Regions from separate parts of the Mus musculus genome. Here regions 1, 2, 3, 4, 6 and 7 are each reported to be linked to region 5. The links are microRNA targets in miRTarBase. Many come from high-throughput screens and were not tested one by one. Region 5 holds a microRNA gene; each other region holds the end of a gene's coding sequence.
Evidence for each region. The annotated mature microRNA mmu-miR-669f-3p reads CAUAUACAUACACACACACGUAU and lies in region 5 at 1,958-1,980, opposite strand. An mRNA with a match to its seed (bases 2 to 7 or 8) in the 3' UTR can be bound and repressed. Matches are read on the target gene's strand: a 7mer-m8 pairs with bases 2 to 8, a 7mer-A1 pairs with bases 2 to 7 and ends in A, and an 8mer does both.

Region 1: miRTarBase lists Fam169a as a target of mmu-miR-669f-3p. Seed matches in the 3' UTR shown: 8mer at 1,470-1,477.
Region 2: miRTarBase lists Id2 as a target of mmu-miR-669f-3p. Seed matches in the 3' UTR shown: 8mer at 1,430-1,437.
Region 3: miRTarBase lists Mkx as a target of mmu-miR-669f-3p. Seed matches in the 3' UTR shown: 8mer at 2,441-2,448.
Region 4: the mRNA of Mfsd14a is a reported target of mmu-miR-669f-3p. Seed matches in the 3' UTR shown: 7mer-m8 at 2,386-2,392.
Region 6: the mRNA of Rai1 is a reported target of mmu-miR-669f-3p. Seed matches in the 3' UTR shown: 8mer at 1,417-1,424 and 8mer at 1,707-1,714.
Region 7: the mRNA of Acr is a reported target of mmu-miR-669f-3p. Seed matches in the 3' UTR shown: 7mer-A1 at 3,261-3,267 and 8mer at 3,251-3,258.

Annotation. Positions count from the first base shown.
Region 1 is chr13:97,126,734-97,130,803 of GRCm38, reverse strand. It overlaps Fam169a (family with sequence similarity 169, member A), which reads right to left. Exons shown (of 13, transcript NM_001100458.1): 13 at 1,282-4,070. The coding sequence ends at 3,766. Nsa2 (NSA2 ribosome biogenesis homolog) reads left to right here. Exons shown (of 6, transcript NM_021552.5): 6 at 1-1,377. Among named protein-coding and RNA genes, the nearest start is that of Nsa2, 9.2 kb to the left of the region's middle.
Region 2 is chr12:25,091,479-25,095,558 of GRCm38, reverse strand. It overlaps Id2 (inhibitor of DNA binding 2), which reads left to right. Exons shown (of 3, transcript NM_010496.3): 2 at 185-248; 3 at 983-1,760. The coding sequence ends at 241. Among named protein-coding and RNA genes, the nearest start is that of Id2, 2.6 kb to the left of the region's middle.
Region 3 is chr18:6,933,425-6,937,498 of GRCm38, forward strand. It overlaps Mkx (mohawk homeobox), which reads right to left. Exons shown (of 7, transcript NM_177595.4): 6 at 3,744-3,777; 7 at 1,542-3,630. The coding sequence ends at 3,441. Among named protein-coding and RNA genes, the nearest start is that of Mkx, 69 kb to the right of the region's middle.
Region 4 is chr3:116,628,987-116,633,066 of GRCm38, forward strand. It overlaps Mfsd14a (major facilitator superfamily domain containing 14A), which reads right to left. Exons shown (of 12, transcript NM_008246.2): 12 at 2,178-3,494. The coding sequence ends at 3,288. Sass6 (SAS-6 centriolar assembly protein) reads left to right here. Exons shown (of 17, transcript NM_028349.3): 17 at 1-2,000. Among named protein-coding and RNA genes, the nearest start is that of Trmt13, 16 kb to the left of the region's middle.
Region 5 is chr2:10,465,265-10,469,264 of GRCm38, reverse strand. It overlaps Mir669f (microRNA 669f), which reads right to left and starts at 2,036; the gene lies at 1,916-2,036. The region is part of intron 10 of Sfmbt2 (Scm-like with four mbt domains 2); the gene reads right to left. It overlaps Mir466m (microRNA 466m), which reads right to left and starts at 2,602; the gene lies at 2,519-2,602. Mir466f-1 (microRNA 466f-1) reads right to left here and starts at 2,321; the gene lies at 2,228-2,321. It also overlaps Mir669e, Mir669b, Mir669d, Mir466f-2 and Mir669l.
Region 6 is chr11:60,197,273-60,201,352 of GRCm38, forward strand. Rai1 (retinoic acid induced 1) reads left to right here. Exons shown (of 6, transcript NM_009021.2): 5 at 517-566; 6 at 759-1,923. The coding sequence ends at 773. Srebf1 (sterol regulatory element binding transcription factor 1) reads right to left here. Exons shown (of 19, transcript NM_011480.4): 16 at 3,974-4,080; 17 at 3,363-3,563; 18 at 3,154-3,265; 19 at 1,812-2,879. The coding sequence ends at 2,650. It overlaps Mir6921 (microRNA 6921), which reads right to left and starts at 3,345; the gene lies at 3,266-3,345.
Region 7 is chr15:89,573,640-89,577,719 of GRCm38, reverse strand. It overlaps Acr (acrosin prepropeptide), which reads right to left. Exons shown (of 5, transcript NM_013455.3): 5 at 3,135-3,888. The coding sequence ends at 3,292. Among named protein-coding and RNA genes, the nearest start is that of Acr, 7.4 kb to the right of the region's middle.

The DNA of each region.
Region 1 (4,070 bases), not on the chromosome of region 5:
AATGTGGAACATTTTAAACACATGGTAGTGTTTAAATTCATAAACAAGTAGATTAAAAGTCATAGAGAAGGTAAATTAGATGAAAAGAGTGCACAATTCAGTGCTTTCACTCATAACTAATACCTTATATAGTACTGCAGTGACCTCCAGTGTACTTCCTCCATTTCCTATATTCTAAAAATAGGGAGCTCGCTCACTACTGCTACAACAATGTGAACAATTGGGTTAGATAATTCTCCACCATGTACCAGTGACTTGAGATGTGGCAATTAATTAGATTGAAAGGTCATGATTTGGGGTTATAACTTAAATCCACGTTCTTAAGAGTGTCTGTATATTAATCTGTAATCACCATATTGCTTTAAATTGTTTATTTTTTAAATCTACTTTCATAATACAGGCAGTGTGATTAGCTGTGCCTTTAACAGAATCATTCAATGTCTAATATCTAAGCACATCTTCATGAATGCAACTCAGAGGAAAGGAAATTTAAAACACAAGACTAGAAAACAATCACAAAACACAAGTTTAATTACTATTTTAAACATTAAGGGGGAAAAAAAAACCCTAGCAAAGAAACAAACCATAAGTTCTCCATAAGACTTGGTATTCTGAATATTTTTTTTAAAGTTTTTAGAACATACAAAGATATTAAAGGAAAAGGCGGGCCTAGTTCCTTGGAAAGGACTGACCAGGAAAGGCAGAGTGACTTCACTTTCTTATAATTAGATTTTAACATTGTCTACCAATCAGAACGGGCAATGTGTATTTATCTGCCTGAGTTACGGTGAAAGGAAGCCTGACTCCAGGTGATCAGTGGCTATTGCTGAAGTACATTTGCTTATTTTTTTTTTTAGGATTGAAACTAGCAAACTGTCGTATACTAAAAAGTCATGGGAGGAAGTATTAAAACAAGCATGACTTCTGTAACAGACCACGCCCAGAACCACCAGATTGCAAATGGACATCAAAGCAAAAGCTGCTCTCTTCAAATAGTTACATGAGTAGTATTAGTACAAATTCCTTATTTACATCAAAATCTGTTTCAGTTTGCTGGTGTGACCACAGCTTAGGTAATTCCAAAGGAGAAGCAACTTCAGAGATGTTTAGTTGGTAGAAGGGCTTAAAGGTCTACTAAAGTCACAAACCACTAGGTAACACTACACTGGTCACCTGTTCAAAGTAGACCATTAGTGACTAGAAGTCCTCCTTAGCCTCTGCAAATCAACGGTAAAAGGAAAGTAGACACAAAGTGGAAGAATGTGAACACACAGAGAAGACTGACATTCTAAGTCATGCCATTTGATTTTATTTTAAAAAATCATAATAGAATCTCTTTAAAAGTTTTAAAGGAGCTTTACAATAAAATTCTTAAATAAATTTTTGTGTGGTCTAACAGTTTAAGTTTGAAAGTAGAACTAAACTTCTGGTAGTACACTTCTGCTATGTTACATAAGGAAATATATATGTATATACACCAGAAGGGAGCTTCCTTCTCCACATTCATGACTCCGAAACAGAAAGTACCAGTTCACAGGAGACTACACAACGGGACAGAGCACTCAAACAGCTGCTTGAAATCTCTGCAGTCCTCATGCCTTGCTACATTTGTTTAGATTCCCTACTGAACATAAATTATTACAAATTTTATATAAACATGTTACTGAATATGAAAGATTTTTTCCTGTGACCTAACTTTTCCTCTATGATCTATACAAACTTTAACTTCTGTCACAGACAACAAGGTAACAAGTTTTCTTGTATGCAGAGCAAAATGTTTGAATCCCATCTTTATCAAACAAGTTTAGGAAGTATATAAGTTTATACTGCTAGTACCCAGTGTGGTATGTGAAAATTTTTCTTTAACTCTAGAGACTATTCATACATTGAGCTGCCAGTGAGTGCAATCTACTAAAACACTCATTTAAAAAAGTAATGGAAGGGGAACAGGAGCCAAAACAAAATACCAAAACAACATATCCAGAAAACTTTAAATGTGTGTTAAAAATCAATTTCTGAATCTTAACATGCCTTTCAAATGCTATCCCTGGTTGAGATATTAACAAATTTCTCTAAACGTGTAAAACAGCATCAGCATTTGGCAAATTTACTAATTAGTCAAATCTATTTTATAACAGCTTTTACCAAAAAAAAAAAAAAAAATGGTCAAAGTATAATTTTCACTTAGAATGAAATTATCTAACATCTAGCCAAAATTAAAACAACAGGTAAGTGCAAGTGTTCTAACTTCAAGGGTTTGCTATTTGGTTTGCTGCTTTAAGGTCTTAACTAATTAATCAGACTTTTCTAAAATACCAACATCCCTAAATTAAAATGTAAGACATGAAATCACCAATCAGCTGACCAAAGACTGAAATGACTGAGCATAAACTCACAAGTACTTCATGACTCAATTTCTCAACATTTCTCTCACAAGGTTCAAGCTGTTTCAAAAACAATTCTAATTGGTCTCAAAATAGTCTCTAACTGAAATACAAATCAAAGTATGTGGTATTCCCCAAGTGCCACTGACCAATTTTCTATGAATTCTAATAACCATTTAAAAACCAATTGTCATTTTTTTTAAATATTTCTAAAATATCAAATAGCCAGGTGGTAGTGCTGCATGTCTTTAATCTCAACACTCAGCAGGAAGAGGCAGATCTGAGCTGGAGGTCTGCCTGGTTTACAGGATAGTCAATGCTACACAGAGAAACCCTGTCTTAAAGTATACAAGACCCAAAGGGACCGCAGAGTCAGAATCTAGGCATTTGTACATCTCACTGGGCAGCTTTATTCCTTCCATCTAGGACTAAAGGTGTTTGGATTGAGTTCTAGACCTATCCAAATATGGATACAGGGCATAACAGGCAAGCTGGGTGGAGGTCTGTTGATAGAAGAGTCACAGTGAGACAGCAGTGAAGAATTAAGGAGGCTTGGGGAGGGGCCTACACTTCTGCACTATCTGTGATCAGGACGACAGTCCAAATTCAACTATATATTAACTTCAATTACTTGAGGTGTTTAAAAGATAAAAGTGTACTCAAGGTTTTCAGCATCTGAAAATATATAGAGAAAAAAATTATAGCAAACTAATACTTCATGTGGAAGTATTAAATTTAAAATTTAAATTATGTACCCACACACCACAGTTATATCTTTAACAGTACTAACACCAGATATGCAGCCTAAAGTACTTCTCACAGACTTGAACTCCATCTACAACTAACATTAAGAAATAAAAACAAAAACCATCTTCATAAACCACTGATCATAAATTTCTATTTTTTGTTCTCTAACTTGATACTATATTTAATTAACTGACTCCTTTTGTTTAGGTATGCTTACACCTAAAAGATGGAGATTGTTTTGATACTAAGATAAAACTTTGAGAATCCTTACCAAATTTTACCATTAAAACCCTTAGTATAAAAGATTCCTATGATCAAAGTCTAATAGTTCTTTTTAAGTTGTATTTTTAAAATATTAATGATTAGATGCTCCACCTGCTGAAGAAGAATATGACCTGGAATTCCAAAATTGACACATGGTTCATAAACGAAAGTTACTTAGAGAAAATAGCCTGAAAAATGAAAAAGAACAGCGAATCCTTGTTCTAAAGGAAAGAGAAAACCTGCATGTGTAAATAAGTTCCAGTGGAAGGTTTAGAATCTGTCCTGTGCCCCATGCTGTTTATTAATTACTGCAGTTTAAAACAACAACAATAACAACAAGGAGGATGTGTGAACTGCATTGCTCCTTCATTCAGGTCAGCTTGGCTTTCTTCTTGCCAGGGCCCTTATGCCCTTTGGCCTTTCTTCTCAGATTGCGCCTGTCTACTACAGGAACTTCCACTTCAATCTCCTCTGAGCTGCTATCCACAGCTTTCTCTGCTGACTGTGTAAACTGTTCCAGGTGCTCAGAGGACGCTTCAGACTGTTCCTCTGACTGGCTCTTCTGTCCTGCATTCTGTGGAAATGGCGCGTCTTCAAGTTCTACCTCTATCAGAGAACTCTGAGTAGCCGATGGTTCCTGGGCCTCAGGTGCTCCCTCCTCACCCTGGTCTTCCA
Region 2 (4,080 bases), not on the chromosome of region 5:
GGAAACTGTATATTGAGCGTCATGTGAAATCGCTACTTATAAGTTCTGTGTGGGTTGCATCTGGATCTGCGCTGTAGCATGATCCTGTTTCATGGGACTTGTTGGCACTTTTGTGAAAGGAGGAGGGGGGCTACCTTCCTTTAAGATTACCTAATATCCTGCCTTTTATCCTCTTTCTCCCCAGGCATCTGAATTCCCTTCTGAGCTTATGTCGAATGATAGCAAAGTACTCTGTGGCTAAATAAATGGTGAGTGTTGCGGGTGCCTCCTGTGTGCGCGTTTCGGTAATGTGCTTGTGTGTCTGTTAAATGTTTGGTTTGGTAAATGCATGCTTACTTCACTGTGTTACGGGTGCCGCTTGACTTACCACATAGGCATGAAGGGGCTTGTAGCTGTGGTTGCTCAGGACTACAGAACAGTTGCCTTTACAAAAACAGAAAAGAAAGAAAAAAAAGAAAGAAAAGAAATGCCAGTAACTTACTATGAAGGTGTCAGGACCAAGTGTGGCTGACTTTTATGAGCCCAGTGGCGGTACACTGAGGTGGTAACCTCAGCTGTAATTAATCTTATCGCCACAAATTCCATAGTGATTCTCTTTTCCCAAAACTGTAGTCCTCTGAGATTTCTCTGGCTAGCTGAAGACGGCTACCCCGAGCCTTACCCCTGTGCTCTGGGATCCAGATTTCCATATCTGTTAACTAAAGGGCTGTTTTCAATCAAATAATTGTTACAAGAAGCAGACTGGCGCCTGTGAGCGGGCTGTTAGAGATCCAAATAGGAGACTGGGTTTGGGAAGTTTTCCCCTGGAGTCTCCGCTATTTTCATGTTTAATTTGTGCTGCTGGGGCCGGGTATGTGTGCCGCATCTGGACGCCAGGGTTTGGTTAAATGCTCAAACTGTGGCTTCCTCGGCGCCAGGCTCGCCCGCCTCTGCCCTTAGGTTACATTCTCCTAAACTGCCTTTCTCTCCCAATCTTTTGCAGGCATTTGGGGACTTTTTTTTTTCTTTTTACTTTCTCTTTTTCTTTTGCACAAGAAGAAGTCTACAAGATCTTTTAAGACTTTTGTTATCAGCCATTTCACCAGGAGAACACGTTGAATGGACCTTTTTAAAAAGAAAGCGGAAGGAAAACTAAGGATGATCGTCTTGCCCAGGTGTCGTTCTCCGGCCTGGACTGTGATACCGTTATTTATGAGAGACTTTCAGTGCCCTTTCTACAGTTGGAAGGTTTTCTTTATATACTATTCCCACCATGGGGAGCGAAAACGTTAAAAAAAAAAGAAAAAAATCACAAGGAATTGCCCAATGTAAGCAGACTTTGCCTTTTCACAAAGGTGGAGCGTGAATACCAGAAGGACCCAGTATTCGGTTACTTAAATGAAGTCTTCGGTCAGAAATGGCCTTTTTGACACGAGCCTACTGAATGCTGTGTATATATTTATATATAAATATATATATATTGAGTGAACCTTGTGGACTCTTTAATTAGAGTTTTCTTGTATAGTGGCAGAAATAACCTATTTCTGCATTAAAATGTAATGACGTACTTATGCTAAACTTTTTATAAAAGTTTAGTTGTAAACTTAACCCTTTTATACAAAATAAATCAAGTGTGTTTATTGAATGTTGATTGCTTGCTTTATTTCAGACAACCAGTGCTTTGATTTTTTTTATGCTATGTTATAACTGAACCCAAATAAATACCAGTTCAAATTTATGTAGACTGTATTAAGATTATAATAAAATGTGTCTGACATCAATGCCGGGATTCTGAATGGTTTTTGAGGTGTCTTGTGTTTGCTTGGGGCACCTCCTTCTGTTCTCTCACCCCCTCTATCACATGTGTGTCCCGTGGCGGCCCAGTAGACTGAAACATTGTTGCCATTAGGAGGGATGGGGACTGGAAACGCAACACACCTAGCAGTGTGGCTCTGTGCCTGTGCATTGGGACTAGATTTTAAACGGGACTGTAGAAGACTCCCCTTGAGTTCCTAGGTGTGCCCTCTAGAAAGACACCTTTGGAGCAGAGAGAAAAGGGGCTTTGGCTGTCACTGGTCACCCCTGGGGGTTACGCTTTTAAACCTGGCCACGAACTCCAGAAGTCCTTCGTCTCCTCCACCTGTGGCTCACCCAGGCCTGCCTGGGCCAGCTGCTCTCCCAGTTCTGTGGCTATTAAGTGCTCTTCACCCTTGACTGCACTCTGGACCTCAAGGAACGGAGGGAAGGTGCGAGAAAAGCCCCTCCCACTCACCAAAAAAAAAGGTATCACCAACATTTCCATCCAACTCAGAGCCTTGAGGACACCGGGCCGCTAATTTGAATATGCATTCAATAGGTGCTTAGATTTAGTTCCCAAGTTGCAAGTGACTTGGTTGGGAAGGGGTGGTTCTGGAAAGTAGTCCAGGGAAGACAGGCACAGCCTAGAGAAAGGATGGGACAAGAGGTACGAGTATGTGAGTCGCACCTGGTGCCACTTTCTAGGCCAAGCAGGTGTTTGGGTGGCGCCTGCTAGTCTGCCTTGGCTGCGGTGTTTCCTCTCCCCTGACACCGAATCCATCCTGGTGAATGGAGGAGGGGCAGCTTCGGTTCCGGTGGTCCCCGCCTCCTTCCTGCAGGGCGGGGTTGTCCCTAATGAATATACCCGGGATGCACGCTTTGCCCATTACACCTGGGTTGGAGACTGCGCGAGCGAGAGCCCTTGGCAGCCGCCCAATACACTAGTCACCTGTTGCCTACTATAGCCCCTGCATGCACACCGGGCCAACCCAGGTGCGCTCTGCCATCCCACCCACCCTCACCCTTCTGCCCCGCCACACACACACGCACACACACACACACGCACACAAAGCGGGAGAGAAGTATGAGAGAACAAGTTGCTGCCCCAACCCTGCCTGTCCTCAGCTTCACGTCTGCCGGATCTCATTCTCCCCTCGGATGGCTTTGGGGATTTGACCCTGAAGTACAATTGTGCCATCGGAACTGCAGGCCCCTTCGGAGCACCTGTAGGGTCGCTGGACAACCAGCGACACGTGAATGACTTCTAATCAGCCTCAGCCTGGGGGAAAGTGGCTCCTTTGGAGGGGACTTCTAACTGCAGCTGGTCGCGCCGTGGAGGCCGAGCGCCACCTTCTGGCAAATATGAGGATCGCCGCTGGCCTACGGTTCTGCTGTACACAGGCATGGATGCAGGGAGCCGGTGGCCAGCAGCGTTATCCTGACCAAGCCTTCTGAAAATGATTGATGTCATCCCTAAAGACTGCCGCTAGCACGAATATATAAATCCGCTCCACCTCTTTACTGCGTACAACCTATTTGCCAATTAGCATCTTACTAGTTATGCTATCTCCCGCCTACCAGTTTGTGACTGGAAAAATGACTGCACAGTTGTTAGGTCAGAAAGTTTGGCAGCATGCTTCCGCACTTCTGTCCCTAACTTTTTTTTTTCCTTAATTGCTTCATGCCTTTTAACCAGAGCCCCAAGTGTTACTTTATCTCAGTGGTTTTCAACCTGTGGGTCGTGACCTCTTTGGGGTTGAATGACCCTTTCATGAAGTCATATCTTAAATATCCTGCAGATCGGATATTTGCATTATGATTCACAACAGTAGCAAAATTACACTCATGAAGCAGCAACAAGAACAATTTTATGATTGGGGGTTACTACAACGTGAGGAACTGCATAAAAGGGTTGCAACACTGGTAAGGTTACGGACCGCTGCTTTATCGGAATGAAAAATGAACAAAGCCTCCTTACGCGAGACCTTAATGCCAGGTTTGGTTTTTTTTTTCTTCCTCTAAATAAGATGTAGGTCTAGAGGGTTTGTGCACATTTTATCAGTTTCAAAAATTCTTTCAGCTTCTAAATTTGAGTAATTTGAGATTTTTTTAGAAAAAGATTTATTTATTGTACATATGAGTGCACTGTAGCTGTCTTCAGACACACCAGAAACGGGCATCAGATCCCATTACAGATAGTTGTGAGCCACCATGTGGTTGCTGGGAATTGAACTCAAGACCTCTGGTTGAGCAGTCAGTGCTCTTAGCTGCTGAGCCATCTCTCCAGCCTGAATTTTGAGATTT
Region 3 (4,074 bases), not on the chromosome of region 5:
GCAGTGTGAAGAGGGGACAGGAGCAAAAGCAGTTCTTGTCATCTGGTAAGGGACACCACCAAGCTCACTATCTTTGGTGGGTGTGCTTGCTTTCCCTCTCTCTGCCCTACTTCATGCTTTGCTGTAGAAGTTTCCAGTGATAGTAATGAACATATCACCTTCCACGCTTTAACTCTGGAGCTAACTTCTCCACTGAAGTCTTTCAAGTCAAAAGTCAAGATTTCTGTAAAGGTGTTTTTGTCTCCAATCCCTATTCCACCTACACTTTTAGCTCCTATATACATATCACATGGAACAAATTACAGTATGTGATAGCATTTTTCATTTATTGATCATCTATTTTTCAGCCACTGTAGTAGGCATTTTACGTTTTTTACACTTATTTTACTCTGAGTGTGGAGATCGGAGGACAGCTGACTGGAGCTGATTCTTTGTACCACATGGGTTCTGGAGAGCAAAATTTGCTGTCAGGCTTCACAGCAAATGTTCTTTTCTACTGTTCCATCTTGCTGGCTCCTGCATTCTGTGTATCATCTACTGTTTCAATCCCTCAGAGTGCAATGTCTTGCTCATTCCTCATACTCTGTGTGCACAACACCTAAAGACTGAGTCTAAATCTCGCAGTTGTGTGTGGATAGGGTGCAGAGTCAGCACTGCAGTGCGGTTCTGCTGACTCCCAAGCTAAGCTCCTCCCCTGTACAGAACACAACGGTAATGGATAGGGGATCTATATGAACAAAGCTTAAAGATATGGAAGTATGGAAATGTCATGACAATACCCATGACTTGGTATGCTGATAAAAGTTTCTTTTTAAGGCAATTAGAATCCATGAATATGCAAATATGGAAGAGGAATGGTTATTGTATTATTTATGGAAAAAGAATTTAGTACAACCCAGTATTTGAACAGTCTGTGTTGTGTTCTTGTCCTTGGGTCTTAACAGGTGGGTTAGTGGCTTAAAGTGATAGAATTCAAATTTGGTCCAACTATAGCACTCCCAATCCATGAGCCACATGCGAGGCTGTTCCTGTCTCCTGCTCCCTCGCCCTGGCCAGCTTTCAAAGGCAAACAAATCCCATATGATCACTGAAGTCTAGAAATGAACTTTTATTTTAAATCTGTCAAGAACTCTTGACAGACTTTAATTTTATTAAAATACAACTGTAAAATAAGAGTGAGTCTCTTTCTCTTCAATATAAATTACATGTCAGCCGAGCTCTCAGCTGCTGGCTTGGCATTGCTCAAGGTGCTTTTAAGGGTCAGGGGGGCTCTGATTTCCAGATAAAACAACAGTAACACAGAAAAATAATAAAATGATTCTAATTGGAGACATTGCTCAGGATATGCTAATTACCTATTTTTCATGTGTGTATAGGCCAGACTCCAAGCTTTGGTATTTTAAAGAAATTATGTGGAGAGTATCCTGTCATTGGTTTGTGTTCATAATACAGAACAAATTAGCTGATTTCCCCCCCCAAAGGATAGAAAAATGTAAAACATGACAATTTCAAATAAAATACAACCCAAAGTTCACTTATCTAATCACAATATGTTAAAACAAGAACACTTTTATTAAAATATTTAATACCAGAATAACTTATAATAGTATGAGAAAGAGTGAAGTATTCGTTCTTGCTTCTCACTGCCTCATGCACATCTGGGCAGGCTTGTCTTGTAGTGATCCCCACTTGGCTGGCTGCACGAGAAGAACCCAATACTTCATCCATTCATACAGTCAGCACTGACACATCTCACCTAGGGCAACTGCAACTGCCAACAGCACTTGAGAAAACAAAGTAAAAATATACGTACAAAATATTTTCATATCAAATTATCTTCATTACACTAGATAACCCCCACCCCACTATGCTATGATACAGGAGAAAGTGTCCTACGAGGGCCATCAAGGCCGTCATGTCTGCTCAGCAACCAGATTAACTTTGGCATTAAAAGCATTTTGTAAAATAAAGAAAAAAACGTCAGCATGTGCTGTGAAACCAGATGTCATTCACACTTGCAAAAATGCTTTCCAGCCTAAAACAATTAGAAAATACATTACATAACCAGAAAAAAATTCCCCCGATAGCCTAGTCTTTTTTACTTTGCTGTTGAACGTTTGCTCTGTTTTATAGGCCATCTCCAGATTTCCTTTTCTACTGGGCATCTCCACATTCCTCTGGTTTGCAGTCTTCCCAGGCAGGGGAGGATGTTAATGCTTGATGGAAAAGACTTTTCTTTCTTGATAGCGATTGCTCTCACTCTGTGGTAGTGACATTTAGAAACAAGACTTTCTTTCTTTTAATGCAAGACTTCACTTAATTTCTATTTGAATGTCCTATCTGGCAAAAATCAGAGACTAAACAGTCTATGCTACATGAACATATTTTGCTACCCGTACATTTTAAATTTTTAAGAAATCAATTTTTCTGCATGTATATGTATATACACACACAGATTTTTTCTTCGTTGTCTTGTTCTCATTGCAATACAAATTGTCCATCTGAATTGGGATTTGAAATGAACCAAATAAAAAGCTTTTACTCACTCCACATGAAAGCGGCTTCCATCACACAGGAACCCTGAGCTCTAATGCAAACAAGATTATGATTTAAAACTAAACTTTAGGTTTAGCTTTACACAGGAAAAAATTTCAAAGATTTATATAATAAGACTCTTTTTAAAGCTTCAGGGAAAAAAAATCCCAATTAGTTGTAAAGGGCATTGGGATACTTTCCAGCAGTGCTTGGGAAAACAATCCTTGACTGCATTACAATATTAAAGTAGTTTGAAAGCATCTCTTCTTAAGTGTATGCATCATGTGGTCCTGCAGCACCTTTCATTTTGGATGCACTAACTGATATGCAAACAAAACCCACACATAAAATTCTCACCATCACACCGGAAGTTAAGGAAAAGAAAAAAAAAAAAGAAAGAGGAAAGAAAAAGAAAGAGAAAAAGAAAAAGAAAAGGAAAGAAAAAAGAAAGAAAAGATCACCTCATCTGGGCTGAACAGATTTCCAAGTTTGAACATGTGAATGAATGAAATTGTTTCATGGGCTTTCGGCGATTGGCTTCTGTCCTGGACCAGTGGGAATGATGCAGTCTAGCAAGTGTTGGCATTGATGGTTTGAGGCACAGCTCTTCACTGTGCCCACGTTGGGGCTTACCTCAGGGAGCAAGGCACTTACTGTAATGGTAATGCAGATACTTTATGCATAGTTTCAGTAACATAAAAATAAGTTAATATTTTTGATTAAAATGAGTTTTTATAACTTATATGTCTTTTTATAGAAGCAACTGATATATTTACGATAGTTGAACTCAGGAGTTTTAAGGGAGTCCTCTTCACCTCTGCTTTGGCTCTTAGGATGAGGATTTAGGTAAAAACAAACACAAACAAACAAACAACCCACTGACAGCTCAGCACTTCCTGGCCACTCTAGAAGCGCTGCACCAGTGGCAGCTTGACTGTCTTTACTTCTGCTATGTGGGAAGACTTCTGGATGATGCAACTGGTGGTCGTCCCCTGCACTTCATCTTTTCCTTGGGCAAGGTTTGTTAAGGCCATGGCTGCATTGATCTCCTTCCAGTATGTGTCATCTTTGCTTGGTCCCCTTCTGTTAGCAGCACTGCATGTGTGCAAGAAAGAAGAGGAAGGATCAGCGATCAGGCCCACTGTTGTGTGCCCTGGAGACAGTTTACCAGCAAAGCACCAGCGATAAATGAAACTCATTTTGCTCACCTGTCACCCTTAGTAGATCCGATGTCCGGGGTGTCTATAAAGAGAAGCACAAAGTCAGTCACTTGTCTCTTTCTTGGACTTTGTCTTTTAAGATTTTATCTCTCTCTCTCTCTTTCTCTCTCTCAGCTGTAAGTCAGCTGATGTGGGAGCCTGGAACCAAATGCAGGTCCTCTGAAAAAGCAGACACTGCTCTTGAGCACTGAGCCACTCCTCCAGTCCTGTTTAATCTTAGGAATTTCTTCATTATTGCCAAGAATAAAATTTTATCCAGAAACATGGCTGAAATTATTTTTCTTATAGCATCCCGTAAGTTATTAAGGTTACTAAGAAG
Region 4 (4,080 bases), not on the chromosome of region 5:
TTTTTCTGTGAACAAAACAGAATGTTTCAAAAAGTCACTGGATTGTATCAGATTCTTACCAGTTGGTCTGCTTAGGGACACTTTATCAAGATACACCTGCAGGGAATATAAACTGAAGACTTGTGATTCATTCGATCATTTTTATTGTAAAAAAAAAAAAATCTTAATCTGCCACCTGAGAGCTGGGAGAGCTTCCACCTGTGACCATTGAGCCTTACATTGACTTTACATTCAGTTCTCATACAACTTTCAAAGTTTTTTTTTTTTTTTTTTTTTTGAGACAGGGTCTATTATTATGTAGTTCAAGCTGTCCTGGAACTGGCTATGTATGTAGACCAGGCTGGCCTCAAACCCAGATCCACCTGCCTCTGTGTCCCAAGACCTAGGACTAAAGCTGTGTACCCACCAAGCCTGAGTTACACAATATATTTGGTTTATAATTTCTCCTCCCAGATGGTCTCCAGTTTCCTACCCACCCAATTTTATGTTCTTTCTCCCTTAAAAAAGAAAATAAAAATAACCAATCAGTAAGATAAAAATATCAAACCAGCCGGGCAGTGGTGGCGCACGCCTTTAATCCCAGCACTCGGGAGGCAGAGGCAGGCGGATTTCTGAGTTGGAGGCCAGCCTGGTCTACAGAGTGAGTTCCAGGACAGCCAGGGCTGTACAGAGAGACCCTGTCTCGAACCCCCTTCCCCCCCCCCAAAAAAAAAATCAAACCCAAAACAGTGTATTCGACCTTGTGCTAGTCAAGTCCTGGGTATGGGCATTTGGAGTTTGGTTGATGTACCTAGTGACACTCTTAAGGATTTTGAGTGAAATTAAGTATTCATAGTGAGTAAATCATTTTCTCTGAAATAATTTTTATATAAAAATCATTGGGACAGTGTATTTACATGACTGAAGTGCTTTAGTCATCTGGGCATTCCATAAAGATCATCAGTGTAATAACACCATAAAAGTTCATGGGACTTTTTATAATATTAAAATTTGTCATCAGTGTTAATAAAGCAGGAGGAGAGTTAACTATTGGAAATTACAACTTCCTCACTATTAAAAACTTCCAAGAACTATTCCTTTGAAATTAAGTAGTTTTAAAAAACAAAATGAAACAAAAAACCAAAAACAACCCTCTATAATCTTAGAGGTCTAATTTTGTTTTCTTGTTGACAACCACCCAAAGGAAATTAAAATTCCAAGACCCCAAAAATCTTATCTGTAAAATGTTAACAATCATGTGATATTTTAAGTTTCAAGGGGCTGAAGAGATGGCTTAGTGATGATCGGCACTAGCTACTCTTTTCAGAGGATGTGGGTTCTAATCCCAGCACCCACATGACAGCTCACAATTTTGTCACCCAGAGTGCATCAGGCATGCATGTGGTTTCTAGGCAAAACATTTATACACATTTTTTTTCAAGTACTTTACACTGTTGCAGACATTTTGAGACAGTGACGTAGAATCTTTAGCCTCACTTTCAGGATGATGGCTATTGCTAGCTGTCTTCAACGAGGGCTGTTATCACAGTTCAGTGATGGGAAGAATATTGCTATAACTACTTGAAAGCACTTATTCTGGAAAGAAGTCTCTCTATGCAGCACAGGACTGTTGTAAATACTATAGAATAAACCTAAGAGCTATGGCAGCCTTTGGAAAGGGATACAAGACATATATAGCTTTTTAGAAGAGATACCCTCCCCTTACTATTTATAAACCTGTTTCCACGATAGGACAGCTCATTTCCACGCAGGGTGTTGGTGACCTGTCTCTGTGCTAAGTGTCCACACACACAGATAGCGCCAACTCTCTGCTCTACCTCTTCTGCTTTTGTCTGAAATTGTTTTGTGTTGTATAACTGTACATGTGTTAACCATCAGAATGTTGCTTTTTGCTATTTCTGAAAGCTGTGACCTTTGTCAATAAAGCACTGAGGCTTGAGCGTTTTATATGCAAGAAGCATGTTTAGGAAATAAAAGACTAACTGTGCTTAGGAAATCAAGCATTTCCGGTTGACCTACACACTTCGTTATTTTTATCTTCAGGCTTTTTGTTTTGTTTTTGGTGAGGTGAGGTGAGGGCAGCAAATGGATTGCAGAAGGTAAGTTAAGGTAAGAGGATTTGTTACTGTAACAAAGCCTAAACCGGCCTTACAGGGAGGGACTCACAGATCAAGACCTTTTTAAAAAGAAAAAAATCATTAAAATATTTAATTTTATTAACAGAATATTTACATTTGAGACCTTATTTAATCATAGTGAATGCTCCAAGTTTAAAAAGCATTAGGCAGTAACCACACACAAGATGAAAACAGTGTAAACTATACAATACTTTATGTACATTTTTACAAAGTAACACTTTTTTAAATAATATAACTGGACACAAAAATATACACTTTAGAGAAATTCACATCAGTAATTGTATAAAGCTCTCTTCTAGGGTCCTGAAAATTTAGGACAAACATTAGCTCTGTAAATAAAGTGTTACTGTGACAGTCCTGAAAGGCCACTATATATATTTATCTACATATAGATATCACATTGACATTTTCAAGGCTACCAGCTTTACTATATAATTTTTAGATTATGTATTCAAGTGTTGAGGTCCTTATGATTATGCAAATATCAAAAGAATAGTGGTATAAGAAGCAGAACAGATTTAAACAGATTGAGCCAGATGGCTAGGCTCTGACCACCCCAATTTGAATTCTAAGTGGCTGATCTTTTCATTCTTCAGAACAGCCGTGAATAATGCTTTAAATAAAATTATGGCAAACAAGCTTGAAACATGATTCTGGTTTTCTACAATTTTCACAAGTTCTTTTAAATGCAAACAATTCTTTACCATTTCTTTTCTAGTGCATCTGCATTAAGGCTTTGAATTATTTGACCCAAGATTTTACAATGACTCAGGTTTTACAAGGTTAAAGCAAACAGGTCCATAACCATCCTGCCTAGTGTCGCTGAGTCAGCACGAGCAGGTAAAGGCTCAACACCTAAGGAAATGGCAGAGACGGAGTTACAGATAGAGCTTTAATTAAAGATGTGTAATAAAACAGTTTAGTGGCAAGAGAGTGGTGCTAATATAAACAAAAGGTTTCTTTTTGAAAGAAAGTGTAACATCTTTGGAAAACTGTCCGGTTCTTTCTTTAGTTCCCACGGAGTTCATGCAAGTATTTCTTAAGACAGTCTTAAAGTACACTGCAGATGGAAATGGAATGTACATCCAGAGCTACAGGTGAAAACTAAGACCTGGGTGCTGCGAGAGAGAGAAGTCTTCCTGATTTCCGTCACACATTCGTGTCCTGGAGTAAAGGTTCTTTGGCCTCTCCTGGCGCTTGTGTACTGTGAGGATGGCTGTGACTGCCACAGTGCTTCCTCCAACTGCTGGACCTTAAACTTAAATTAGTGTGTTCCGGAATAAACAAGGCAACGAGCAGAGCCAGCAGTACCGAACAGGCTCCAAAGAGGAAAGGGGGACCAGGGATGATGGAATTCTGAGGAAGAAACAATAGTTAATGTTTTTTGCACAAATACTCCCCCCAGCCCCCGTCCCCAGCCTCCAATGTCTCAGCAACTGTCTGCTCAGATTTTCTTTTTTTTTTTTTAAAGTCAATGCCTTTATTGAAGCAATAGCTATAAAATCACTTTTCAGGAGAAAAGGTATTTTTATTCTTATTGTAAAATCCTGCCAACAAAAAAATGGCAAAGTGGGCTGGAAAGATAGTTCAGTGGTTAAGAGCGCTGACTGCTCTTCCAGAGGTCCTGAGTTCAATTACAGGCAACCACATGGTGGCTAACAACCATCTGTAATGGGATCTGATGCCCTCTTCTGGTGTGTCTGAGGACAACAATGTGTACTCAAACCTTTAAAAACAAAAATCAAAAACTGGCAAAGTAACTTGGATAACTGTGGGTGGCTTTTAGCACAGAGCCTAAACTACACATGTTAATAATACACCTGTAGAATCGTGTTTCAAAAATAAATACAATGCCACTAACCACAAAAATAAAACATTTTAGCCCAAATCATATTCATTGTGGGCAAAACCCTACAGAAACCCTGTTTCTGTTGTATATGGC
Region 5 (4,000 bases):
CCAGGAATACCAGGCTGATCTCTAACTCATTATGAAGTTAAGCATGAATTTGAACTCCAGATCTTTCTGACTATACCAATCGTTTATATCTGGTGAGTAAAAAGTTTCATTGGCCCAGTACTACATAATTTCTAAAGCTCTAAATCACATATCAATAAAATAAATCGATGAATACCATTCCTGCGTGTGTGTTGATGTGTTCATATGAATGCGTGTATATATGGGTGTGTATGTATATGTATATTCATATACACACATATACATGCACACACAACTATACGCACATGCACAAACATGGGGGGCAAAACATGATTCACAGTTTGATCTCTAAATCCTCATGAATGTAAGCATGAATTTGAACTCCTGATTCTCCTGATTCTGGCAAGCATTTTCAACTAGAAAGTGAGAGCACTCACTGGCCCAGTACTACATAATCTCTATAGTTCTACGTCACATATCATTCAAATGGATAAATGAGTGCCATTCGTGTGTGTGTGTGTGTGTGTGTTACATGAGTGTGTATGTGTGTGTGTATGTATACATATATTCATATACACACATGCACATGCACACACACGTAAACACACATTCACATACATGGGTGGCATCACATGAATGCCAGGATGATCTCTAACTGAAGTTAATCATGAATTTGAACTCCTGATCCTCCTGACTCTGTCAACCATTTTCACCTGGTGAGTGAGACCGTTCATTGACACACTACTGCATAATCTATAAGACTCTAAGTCACATATCATTCAAATGGATCGATGAGTGCCATTCCTGTGTATATGTATTTGTGTGTGTGCATGCATGCGTGTGTATATGGGTGTGTATGTATATGTATATTCATATACACACATATACATGCACACACAAGTATACACACATATAGAGCAAGCAACACACAAATCCCGGGCTGATCTCTAACTCATCATGAAATTAAGCATAAATTTTTACTGCTGTTCTTCCTTACTCTGCAAGCATTTTCACCTGGTGAGAGAGAGAGAGCTCTTTTGGGCAAAGGAATACTCAATCTCTAACCTCTAGGTTGCATATCATTCACATGGATTGGTAAGTGGCAATTGTGGGTGTGTTTGTGTGTGTGTGCATGTTTGTGTGGGTATGTATGTATATGTATATTCATATATACATACATTTTCATGCACACATAAATATACACACATGCACATACATAGGGGTCATCACATTAACACAAGGCTGATCTCTAACTCATCATGAAGTTATTATGAATTTGAACTCCTGATTCTCCTGACTGTGAGAAATGTTTTTGCCTGGTGAGTGAGATGTCTCACTGGCCCAGTAAATTTACATATTATACAAATGGATCGATGAAAGCCATTTCTGTGTCTGTATCTGCGCATGCGTGTATATGTTTGTGTGTATGTATATGTACATTAATAGACACACATGCACATGCACACAAAACTATATACACATGCACATACATTCATGGGGGACATCCCATGAATTCTAGGCTGATGTCTAACTCATCATGAAATTAAGCATGAATTTCATCTCCTAATCCTCCTGAGTATGGCAAACATTGTTACCTGGTGAGTGAGATCTCTCCCTGGCACTGTCCTGCCTAAACTCTCAAGCTCTAAGACACATATCATTCAAATGGATGTGTGTGTGTGTGCATGAGTGTGTAAGTGTGTGTATATTCATATTCATATACACAAATGAACATGCACACACAAGACACACACCTGCCCATATATAGGGTACAGCCCATGAATCCCAGGCTGATCTTTAACTCATTATGAAGTTAAGCATGATTTTGAACTCTGGATACTGATGCTCTGGCAAGCCTTCCCTGGTGAATGAAAAGTTTCAGTGGCCCAATACTACATAATCTCTAAAGCTCTAAGTCACATATCATTCAAATGGATCAACGAGTGCCATTCCTCTGTGTGTGTTTGTGCTTGCGTTTATACGTGTGTGTGTATGTATATGTATATTCATATACACACATGCACATGCACACACAACTATACACACAGGCACATACATGGGGGGCATCACATGAATCACAGACTAATCTCTAAATTCTCAGGAAGTTGAGCATGAATTTGAATTCCTGATTCTCCTGATTCTGGCAAGCATTTTCACCTTCTGAGTGAGACCATTCACTGGCCCAGTACTGTATAATCTCTAAAACTATAAGTCACATATCATTAAAAGTGATCAGTGAGTGTCATTCATATGTGTGTGTTGCATGTGTGTGTATGTGTGTGTGTATGTGTATGTATATTCATATACACACATGCACATGCACACACACGTAAACACACATGCACATACATATGAATACCAGGATGATCTCTAACTGAAGGTAAGCATGAATTTGAACTTCTGATCCTCCTGACTCTGTCAATCGTTTACACCTGGTGAGTGAGAACATTCACTGTCCCCTATTGCATAATCTCTAAAACTCTAAGTCACATACCATTCAAATGGATTGATAAGTGCCATTCCTGTATGTGTGTGTTTGTGTGTGTGTACGTGCGTGTGTATGTGTGTATGTATATGTATATTCATATACACACATGCACATGCACACACAAGAACACACACAGGCACATACATAGGGGCCATCACATAAATCCCAGGATGATTTCTAAATCTTCATGAAGTTAATTATGAATTTGAACTCTTTATTCTCCTGACTCTGGCAAGCGTTTTTACTTAGTGAGTGAGATGTCTCACTGGCCCAGTATTACATAGTATTGAAAGATCTAATTTACATATCATACAAATGGATTGATAAGTGCCATTCATGTGTGTTTTTCCACGCGTGCATGTCTATGTTAGTGTGTATGTATATTTATATTTATATTATACACACATGCACATGAACACACACGTATATACATAAGCTGCATCACATGATACAGGCTGATCCCTAACTCTTGATGAAGTTAAGCATGAATTTCAACTCCTGATCCTCCTGACTCTGGCAAGGATTTTAGCCTGGTATTTGAAGCCTCACCCTCACTCAATACTACATAATCTCCAAAGCTCTACGTCACATATCATTCAAATGGATTGACAAGTGACATTCCTGCATGTATGTGTGTGCGTCTGTATGTGTATGTGTACATATATTGATATGCACACATGTACATGCACACACAAGTATAAACACATGCACATACATGGGGGGCATGACATGAATCCCAGGCTGATCTCTAACTCATCATGAATTTAACCATGAATTTGAACTCTGAAACATACTGACTGTGGCAAAAGTATTCAGCTAACGAGTGAAACAACACACTGGCCCAGTACTGCATAAGCTCTAAAGCTCTGAGTCACATATTATTCAAAAGGATATATGATGCCATTACTCTAAGTGGTGTGTGTGGGTGGGTGGGTGTGGGTGTGTACATGTGTGTACATGTGTGTATATGCATATTCATATAGAGAAATGAATATGCACACAACTATACACACATGCACATTTTTGGTGGGCATCACATGAATCGCATGCTGATCTCTAACTCATCATGAAGTTAAACATGAATTTGAACTCCAGGACCTCCTGACTCTGGCAAGGGATTTCACCTCCTAACTGAGACATAGCTCTGACCTGGTACTGCATAAGCTCTAAAGCTCTGAGTCACATATCATTCAAAAGGATATATGAGTGCCATTCGTGTGTGCATGCGTGCATATGCATATTCACATAGAGAAGTGAATATGCACACAACTATGCACACATGCACTTTCTTGGTGGGCATCACATGAATCTCATGCTGATCTCTAACTCTTCATGAAGTTAAGCATGAATTTGAACTCTGTAGCCTCCTGACACTGGCAAGAATATTCACCTCCTACCTGAGACATAGCTCTGGCCATTCCTGTGAGTGTGTGTGCATGCGTGTATATGCATATTCATATAGAAAAATGAATATGCACACAACTATACACACATGCATATCCTTGGTGGCCCAGTACTGCAGCATCTCTAAAA
Region 6 (4,080 bases), not on the chromosome of region 5:
CTACTGCTGTCTCTTAAGAATAAGCCCTTCCGTGTGGAACATTTCCTCTGAACGTGAAGAAGGATCATGAGAGCACACAGTAGGTGACATTGTGATTGATCTACAATATAGAGGCTGAGATTCTGTAGCTGACATTTCAGTCAAGACCTGAGACTCCACTCTGCAGTTGTCAGTCACCCAAGCAATCATGGGGTGCTTTCTGAGCATGGACCTCTCCTGGCCACTGTGCAGGAGGTTGGGTCAGGAGTGGGCATGTCTGAGAATGAGTGTTCCTTCTCCTTTGGGGAGACCTGGGTAGGAGGGAGATGGCCAGGTAGTGGTGGCCAGGGTGGGGGTGGGGCAGGGGGGGTGTCTAGGAGTGGAGGCCAGGAAGGGACATAGCAGGGTAGAGGCAGAGGGGCTGCACCTCTGGGGGGATTTGGACTAATGAGGGTTCTGAGCAAGACCAGGGCATCAGAACTAACACTGGCAGCCAGCCGGCTCTGCATCACCACAGAAACTTTTCTTTGCTCACAGGTTGCACGTTCATTGAGGAGAATTTTACTTTGAAGTGCCCCAAACATAAGGTAGGTGAGCAGGCTCCCCAGAGAAAGCATTCCCTACCTAACCCAGTTTCTCCCTGCCCTGCCAGAGAGTAGGGAGGGGTGCAGGCTGGGTCCTAAAGTTACTTTGCCAGTCTAGGGTGATTGCACAGTTCTTGTGGAAGGACAGGGGTGGCAGCGGCTGGTGATAACAGTAACGGGCTGTCCCTCCCACAGAGGCTGCCGTTGTAATCCCCGTGTGGCCGAAACTCCGAGGAAGAAGAGCTGCGCCCACAGCCGGTCCTTGATCCCATCCAGGGTCTAGGTTCCGGCTGCCTTGGGCGCTGGCGTGAGGCCTAGGTTGCGAAGAAAACCGGGGCCAGGCTTGGCGAAGGCAGGCCAGGGAGTGGCCAGACCCAGGGCACAATGTCTCAGGCGGGGGGCAAGTCCCCTGCAAGTTCTGAAAAAGACGTGGCATGCAAGCTGTGCCCCTGGGAAGAGGCTAGGCTGCTGGCTCAGTGGACGACGTGGGGCAGACCCAAGCCTTTCTTAGAGGCCCAGCGGCGGGGGACATGGCTCAGCACTTGGCATGGATCTGCCCAAGATCGTGGCAGCCTGGGCTCAGGCCAGTCTATCCTTGATGCGGGCTGGCCTGGGGTGGCGCCCTATGGCTTCTGTTTGTCCCCTTTCCAGTCTTCCACCCCACTGTTGGAGCCCCGTCTGGAAGCCTGAGGAGACTGGGCCTGGCTACCCTCTAGCAGATGTGCAGCTGTCCCAGACAAAACACCAACATGGGATTCAGGGACTGCCACTCAGCTCACTCGGCTCATAGGCGGAGACAGTGCTAGATTCGTGTACAAACCTGTGTACCCCTCTATATATATGTTACATAGAATGTATATATGTTGGGAACATGCTCGCTTCTGTGTGTCGCTGCTGTGCGTCGTGTGCTCCACAGCACAGAGCCCTAACCTGGCCTTGGCTGGGGTCGGGGCCAAAGTGATGCCCCTTCCCCGAGCAACTACCACCATCACCACCACCACGGCCAGCCCCCACCTGTCCGTTTGTGTCCTCAGCTCTGTCCACGCTTTAATAGGCCTGATGCAGCCCCTTCTCCCTGCAACGTTCTGTACATATGACTGTAAAATGGTAAACGTGTGTATTATATCTGGCCTCGTTATATAGTGTATATATATGTATACATATACATATATATAATATATATGAAGACTGTAAATGTTAAGACAACTAGTGTTCTTATTAGTATATTGCTTCACACTGAAGATTGTGTGTATCGAGCTGTTTCTAAAAGATGTTTATTTTCCTTAAGAGTTAAAAAAAAAAAAAACAGTCATTGCATTCAGAAAAAAAAAAGTCAATAAAGATACCACGATTGTTTTGGAAGTGTGCGGCCTGTGGATGCCGACCAGATTCCCTAAGGGGTTGGGAGTAGAGGGAAGGGGCCGGGGGACACAAACAGGGTTCCCAGTCTACTCACTAATGGGCCCTGATCCTTCGCCTATGCTGGTGCACAGAGATGACTAGGGAACTGTGTGTGTTTCTGGATATACGGGGTTATTACCTGGTGGAGGGCTGGAAGGCAAAGGAACAACTGAGACCATCAAGGCCCCTCAAGGGTTATGAGCCATGAGATCAGAGGGCCAAGGTGGCTCAACATAGCATCACCAAGCCAGCAAATACACCTTACAACAGATGGGAAGTCCGGCTTCCCAAAGGACAAGCCAGGAAAGATAGCAATCAGCTGAGGCAGACATCTGCCTACCCAGATAAACAAAACTGAAGTTATAAATAATTTCATTTTTTAATATTCTGTACAAAATTTCTCAACCTATGAAAATAAAGTTTGCAAAAGTCAAAGTAGTACATGGGCCTGCCCTGGAGCCAGGCCCAGCCGGATCTACACTATGTACAGGTCTCCCAGGGTGAGCCTCAGCTAGGGAAAAGCCACTAAGGTGCCTACAGAGCAAGAGGGTGCCATCGGGCCAGTGCAGCCTCTGCAATTTCCAGATCTGCCACTAGAGGTCGGCATGGTCCTGATTGCTTGTCAGGCTCACCCTCTGGAAGACCACAGCCAATGACAAAGGTCCTCAAGGGAAAGCTTTGGGGTCTAGCTGGAAGTGACGGTGGTTCCGCCGCCCAGGCGCAGGAGCATCTGCTGGCAGTCCAGCAGTAGCCGGTGATCGCCAAGCTTCTCTACGGTGCGTGCCGCCTCGGCCAGCATGCTCATTCGCTGCCCAGGAGCCGACAGGAAGGCAGGGGGCAGATAGCAGGATGCCAACAGCAGGGCCTCGGTGTGCTCCCGCCATGTGGGCCGTGGCTCCAGCTCAGCTGTAGTGCCTGCACAGATCACATCAAAGGGAGGGAGGCTTAGGTCTGGCCGAGCCCACACCCCATGTGCAGGACAAAGTAGCTGAGCTCTTCCACGTGGAACTCCCAGTCTGGCTGCTTTCTCCACTTGGGCTGGGCACACAGGGGGGCTCAGCTTCTTTCCTATGACTGCCTCAAAAACTGTCATCCCCGCTGATTTCTGTAAGTCAGCTCTCAGTATGTCTCACTAGACCAAGACGGCCCCTGACCCTCACCAGCCCTGTAAGCACAGCCACCTCCTCACCTCCTTTGCCACTGGAACCTGCCCTCCTCCTCAGACTGCGATCCAGGAGCTGGTGTGTCCGGGCAGGACTTGCTCCTGCCATCAGCCGAGCTGTGGCCTCATGTAGGAATACCTGAGAGGCAAGGAGTAGTCACCCGTTTCAGATTTACTGTCCCCCCACTCCCGGCTTCCTACCTCATGCCCCTCAGTGTGAGAACAGTGGGACTCACCCTCCTCATAGCAGGCCGGAAGCTCTGTGCCAACCGCCGCAGGCTGCTCAGGTCATGTTGGAAACCACGCAGCTCCAGAGCAGAGGCCTGGGGTCCATTGCTGGTACCGTGAGCTACCTGGACTGAAGCTGGTGACTGCTGCCGCTGCCACAGACTGGTACGGGCCACAAGAAGTAGATCACACAGGAGCAGCTGCATGGCCTGGGATAGCAGGCAGGGCAGAGGGAGGAGTTTCCCTATGGACATCAAGCTTTCCCTAGCTGAGGGCCACCCTGTCTCAAGGCAGCGTCAGTAAGGGCAGGAAGTCCACAGCACTGGGGCCTGACTCCAGGTTGCATCACTGAAGCACTGCATCTGCCTCAACACATGCACCGCCTCCTGCTACAAGCCCGCAGTCTTCCCAACAATGGCTCCCAACAGGAACCCTGCCAGTCTGCTCCCCACACCCTCCTTCCTGGTGGTGGCGAAACAGTAAAGCCCCCTCTCCCCAAGACTTAAGCCGTCGTTAAAACTGAGGTAAATCCATTTAGCATTATTCTGTACTAACACCAAGAACCTGGAAATGGACAGCTGTGACCCTGGCCTAGACAGGAACCCACCCTACCCCTCACCTTGTCAATGGAACTGCCAGTTGGTGTAGAGGCTAAGCTGTCCCGCAGGTACCCACTGGCCTTCTCACAGATGGCCAGGCTGGCTGGGCTAGATTCCACCTTTCTGT
Region 7 (4,080 bases), not on the chromosome of region 5:
CCAAGATATTGATTTCATAAACCAAATGTCACATACAGGTGTTTTCTCAAAGGCCTTAGCCCCCTGTGTAATTGAAGGCCTCTGAACTGGAAAGGGGGATGTTGACAAATGGAGACCGTCCCTGGATGGGAACATCCACTAAGGGGACTCCTCTGTGGACAAGGGAGGATTTTGGATATCCTTCTGCCATTGTTCAAGGTTCATTCTTAGACTAGAGACTGGGGTATACAAAAGAACTGGAATTTGAGCTGACAGTTCAGAACTGGGGCTCCCAGCACAGAGACAGAGAAGTGACCCAGAGGAACCCCCCCCCTTAGAAGGTGGCTCTCTTTTCTCTCGTTTACTCTGTTGCTGTTGTATCAGGGAAAAGAGGGTCCGGGGTCTCTTCTCCAGCAAGGATCATAATCATCTCCTCCACACTCTTCGCCTCTCATCATCAATATAGTCTATAAGCTCAGACACCCAGTATGCTGGTTGTCAACCTGACACAACTCTGCTCATTACTGAGAAGAGAGAATCTTGAGAAACACCTAGATTATGTAAGATTAGCCTAGAGGTAAACCTATAGGCTATTGTCTTAATGATTGGTGTAGAAGAACCCAGCTCACTGTGGCTGATGCCATCCCTGGGCAGGTGGTCCTGGTTGATCTAAGAAAGCAGACTGAGCAAGCCATGAGGTGCAAAGCCAGTAAGCAACACTCCTCCATGGACTCCGATTCAGTTCCTGCCTCCAAGATCCTGCCCTGCTCTGAGTCCCTCAATGATGAAATATCAACCTGAGAATTAGAAGCTAAAATAAACCCTTTGCTACCCATTGCCTTTGGTCATGGTGTTCCATCGCAGCAATAGAAACCCTAAGACACACAGCCTTAATGGGTTTTCTTTTCCCTTTTGACCACCTCCACCCTATACTGTAGCATGTGCCTTAGGACACAGATTACTTTTATTGGTCTCAGATCTTTTATCCTTTTGCTTACCCAAAGACAGAGCCTGGTTCCCCATCCTTACAACGGTGATGTCTTGATGAGAGAGGCTCAAACTCCTCTCTGTTTCTATGGTGATAACCCTTGAGGACCAGCTGAGGCCCTTTAACTACTGCAGTTGGTGTGGAGCCTATATACCATCGGAACTGCAGGTCTGGAGTCTACACTCGCTTCTCATCGGATTGAACATTTCAATCGCACTCAAATCGCCCTTCCAGACATCCCGCCCACCAAAGCATTATTCATACTTCCAAGTTGCGTTTCCCTGTTGTTTTTTTTTCTTCTTCTTCTTCTTCTTCTCTTGGTTCAGAAGTTGTCTTCCCAGAACCTCAAATTTCATCCTCATGGACTAAATGGGGAACATCAAAGGATCTCCATTCCTCCCTTCCCAAGTCCTCCTGGGAGTTACACCACCTCTCACCTCCCCCTCACCCCCTGTACTGGTTTCATGTGTTGTCCCCCCTGGACCTTTTGTTTTCCACTTCCAAGGATGGACATCTCAGTGACTCACTTACCCAACCACATCAGTATGCCATAGCTCAATTTTCTTGCCTTGGTTTGTGCTTGGGAGTTACCTAGTTGCTGCTATGCTCATTCGATGCCCTTATCTCAACACTGCTGATTCATTTTCAGAATTGGGGTTCTGTTAGTTCAGGAGCCTGAGATATATTTGTCCATATCCAGAACCTCAGCCATGAGACAACAGGTGTGCACGTTCCCAGGACCTTTGGTTGCAGAGAGTCTCTCACATTGGGTGCCAGGCTTTTAGAAATAGGTCTGGGGTTCCAAGCAAGGGACCACGCAATCCAAAGTAAGCCAGTAAGGTGAAAAGTGTTACTTCTGTACACAGGTGAATAGCCATTGCCAAATCAAGCTGGGTTGATGCCGAAGTCCTGCTGGTTTTTTTTTTTTTTTAATCCCTAACACAAAGGGATCCTGGTGCCTCTCTGAGTGGTCAGAGGCCTTCCAGGCCTACAAATCCAAAGCAGCACAGCTGGAAAGTAAAGGACAACCTTTGAGAACGGAACGCATCCTTAAGTACATTTTGATTTCAGGAAGGGTTGCCTCTCTCTGCCCTACCATCTTTGATAAACACAAGTGGTTTAATCCAGACACCAGACTTGAGTTACTTTCTTGACCGGAATGAACAGCAAAACAGAGCGTCAAACCGAGCCCGTCAGAGCATCCTTCTCAGGACTAAGCAAACAAATGTGGTCAGGCTGAGGACTGACCCCAGTCTCAAGCAGTGTGGGCCAAGTCTGACAAGCTGGACTGAGTGCCCAGAGCCATTCTGAGGAAGCTTCAGACCGTTTCCATGCCTTGCTGGGCTCGCTGCTCCTTGAAGCGTTCGCTTCTGACCCATTCCTATTGGCCCCGCATAGCTTTGTGTCATTAAAAAGGTTCAAACTGGTTTCTGTTCCTTACAATGAACTTTTTTTTTTTTTTACAATTCATTTGCTTATTTTATGTATGTGTATACACTGCTGCTCTCGTCAAACACACCAGAAGACGACATCAGATCCCATTACAGATGGTTGTGAGCCACCATGTGGTTGCTGGGAATTGAACTCAGGACCTGTGGAAGAGCAGCCAGTGTTCTTAACCACTGAGCCATCCCCACAATGGATATTCTTAAACATCTAATGATTGTAAAAAGCCATTCCACACTCAGGTGCATCCATAAAACACTCCTTCCCCCACTATTATTCCTGGAAAGCTTTAGCAAATAAGTTCATATGGGCTTAAGTCCCAGAACTAGTAGATTTAGCTACAGGCCAGTAATAACCCTGAGCAGGTAATGTGTGATCAGCCACAGTAAGACTATTTATGTGGTGGCAGACACTTCTTGTGGCTGCCAAGCACCCTGGCCATCCCTTGTTTTCTGAGGATCCAGGCCTTTCACACAGAGGCATCTCTTTGTGCCAATCTCATGACAGCATCAAGAGAACCGCCACTTAGGGGGATCCCACCCCCTCCTTTTCTGATCAGTTTAGTTGGTAGAATGAGCTCTCTCACTCCACCCGCTAGCTACATATACAGAGGCATTTAACACCTTGCAGTATCAATAAAGTATGAAGTAAGGACCATGGTTGGCCTATGGCCCAAGTTTGCTTATTCAAGCATTAAATTTCAACATTTAAAAAAAATATATATTGAGCAATTCCATTTTATTGGAGCTGAGCAGGGAGGATGTAAATTTGATGGAGGAAGATTTGGGTTGAGTTGAAGAAAACAGAAGTTCATGTCCTCGAGTGTACATATATATTTATATACAAATATATACTTTATTTCACTCATCTCTCTTTTCTCAGGAATGGAGGAAGGGCTCGCTGGGTTTGTTGGAAAGGGGCTCAAACGTGGAGAAGCGGTAGTGGTAGTTCCTTGGTCCACTGTACTGGGAGGGATGTTTCATAGGGTAAGTTCTCATCTTCAGGGCCTCTATGAGGCGCTGGAGACGCCGAGCAAAAGACAGCGTTGTGCGGTGCCTCATGTGTTGTGTAGCAATGGTAAAGGATGCAGGCTGGGCTGGGGTTGGGGGCGAGAGGAGGGGCATGAGTGATGAGGAGGTTTGGGTCGAAGACGGCCGATGGAGCAGAGGCCGTAGTGGTCGCAGGTAAAGCGGTCGAGAAGGCAGGTGTTGGAAATACCAAGGAGGGCGAAGAGAAGGAGGGTGAAAAGAGACCATCGGATGGCGGGTAGTCGGCGGATGAGGGGTGGCTGGCTGAATCAAGTGCAAGGCGTTAGGGCCGATCTTGGAAGCAATCCAGTCCAGGTAGTCCCAGGTGGCTGTGTAGACTCCGGGACGCTTAGCACGGGCACAGCCTACCCCCCAGCTCGTGATCCCCACGACCACAAAGGGGCTGTCGACGTTGTCTCTGCACATGAGAGGCCCACCACTGTCCCCCTGTCCAGAAGGACAGAGGGGTCACTTTCAGCCTAAACCACTCTCCCTTCCCAGAAGACTCATGGATGGGGCTATGGGAGAACAAATGTCTGTAGCCACATAGTTTCTTGCTGCCTTAAGACACAACTGGTGAGGGTAAGAGCTGCAAACATCCGTTGGGATGTGGAGGGCGGGTGGGGGAGGGGCCCTGAG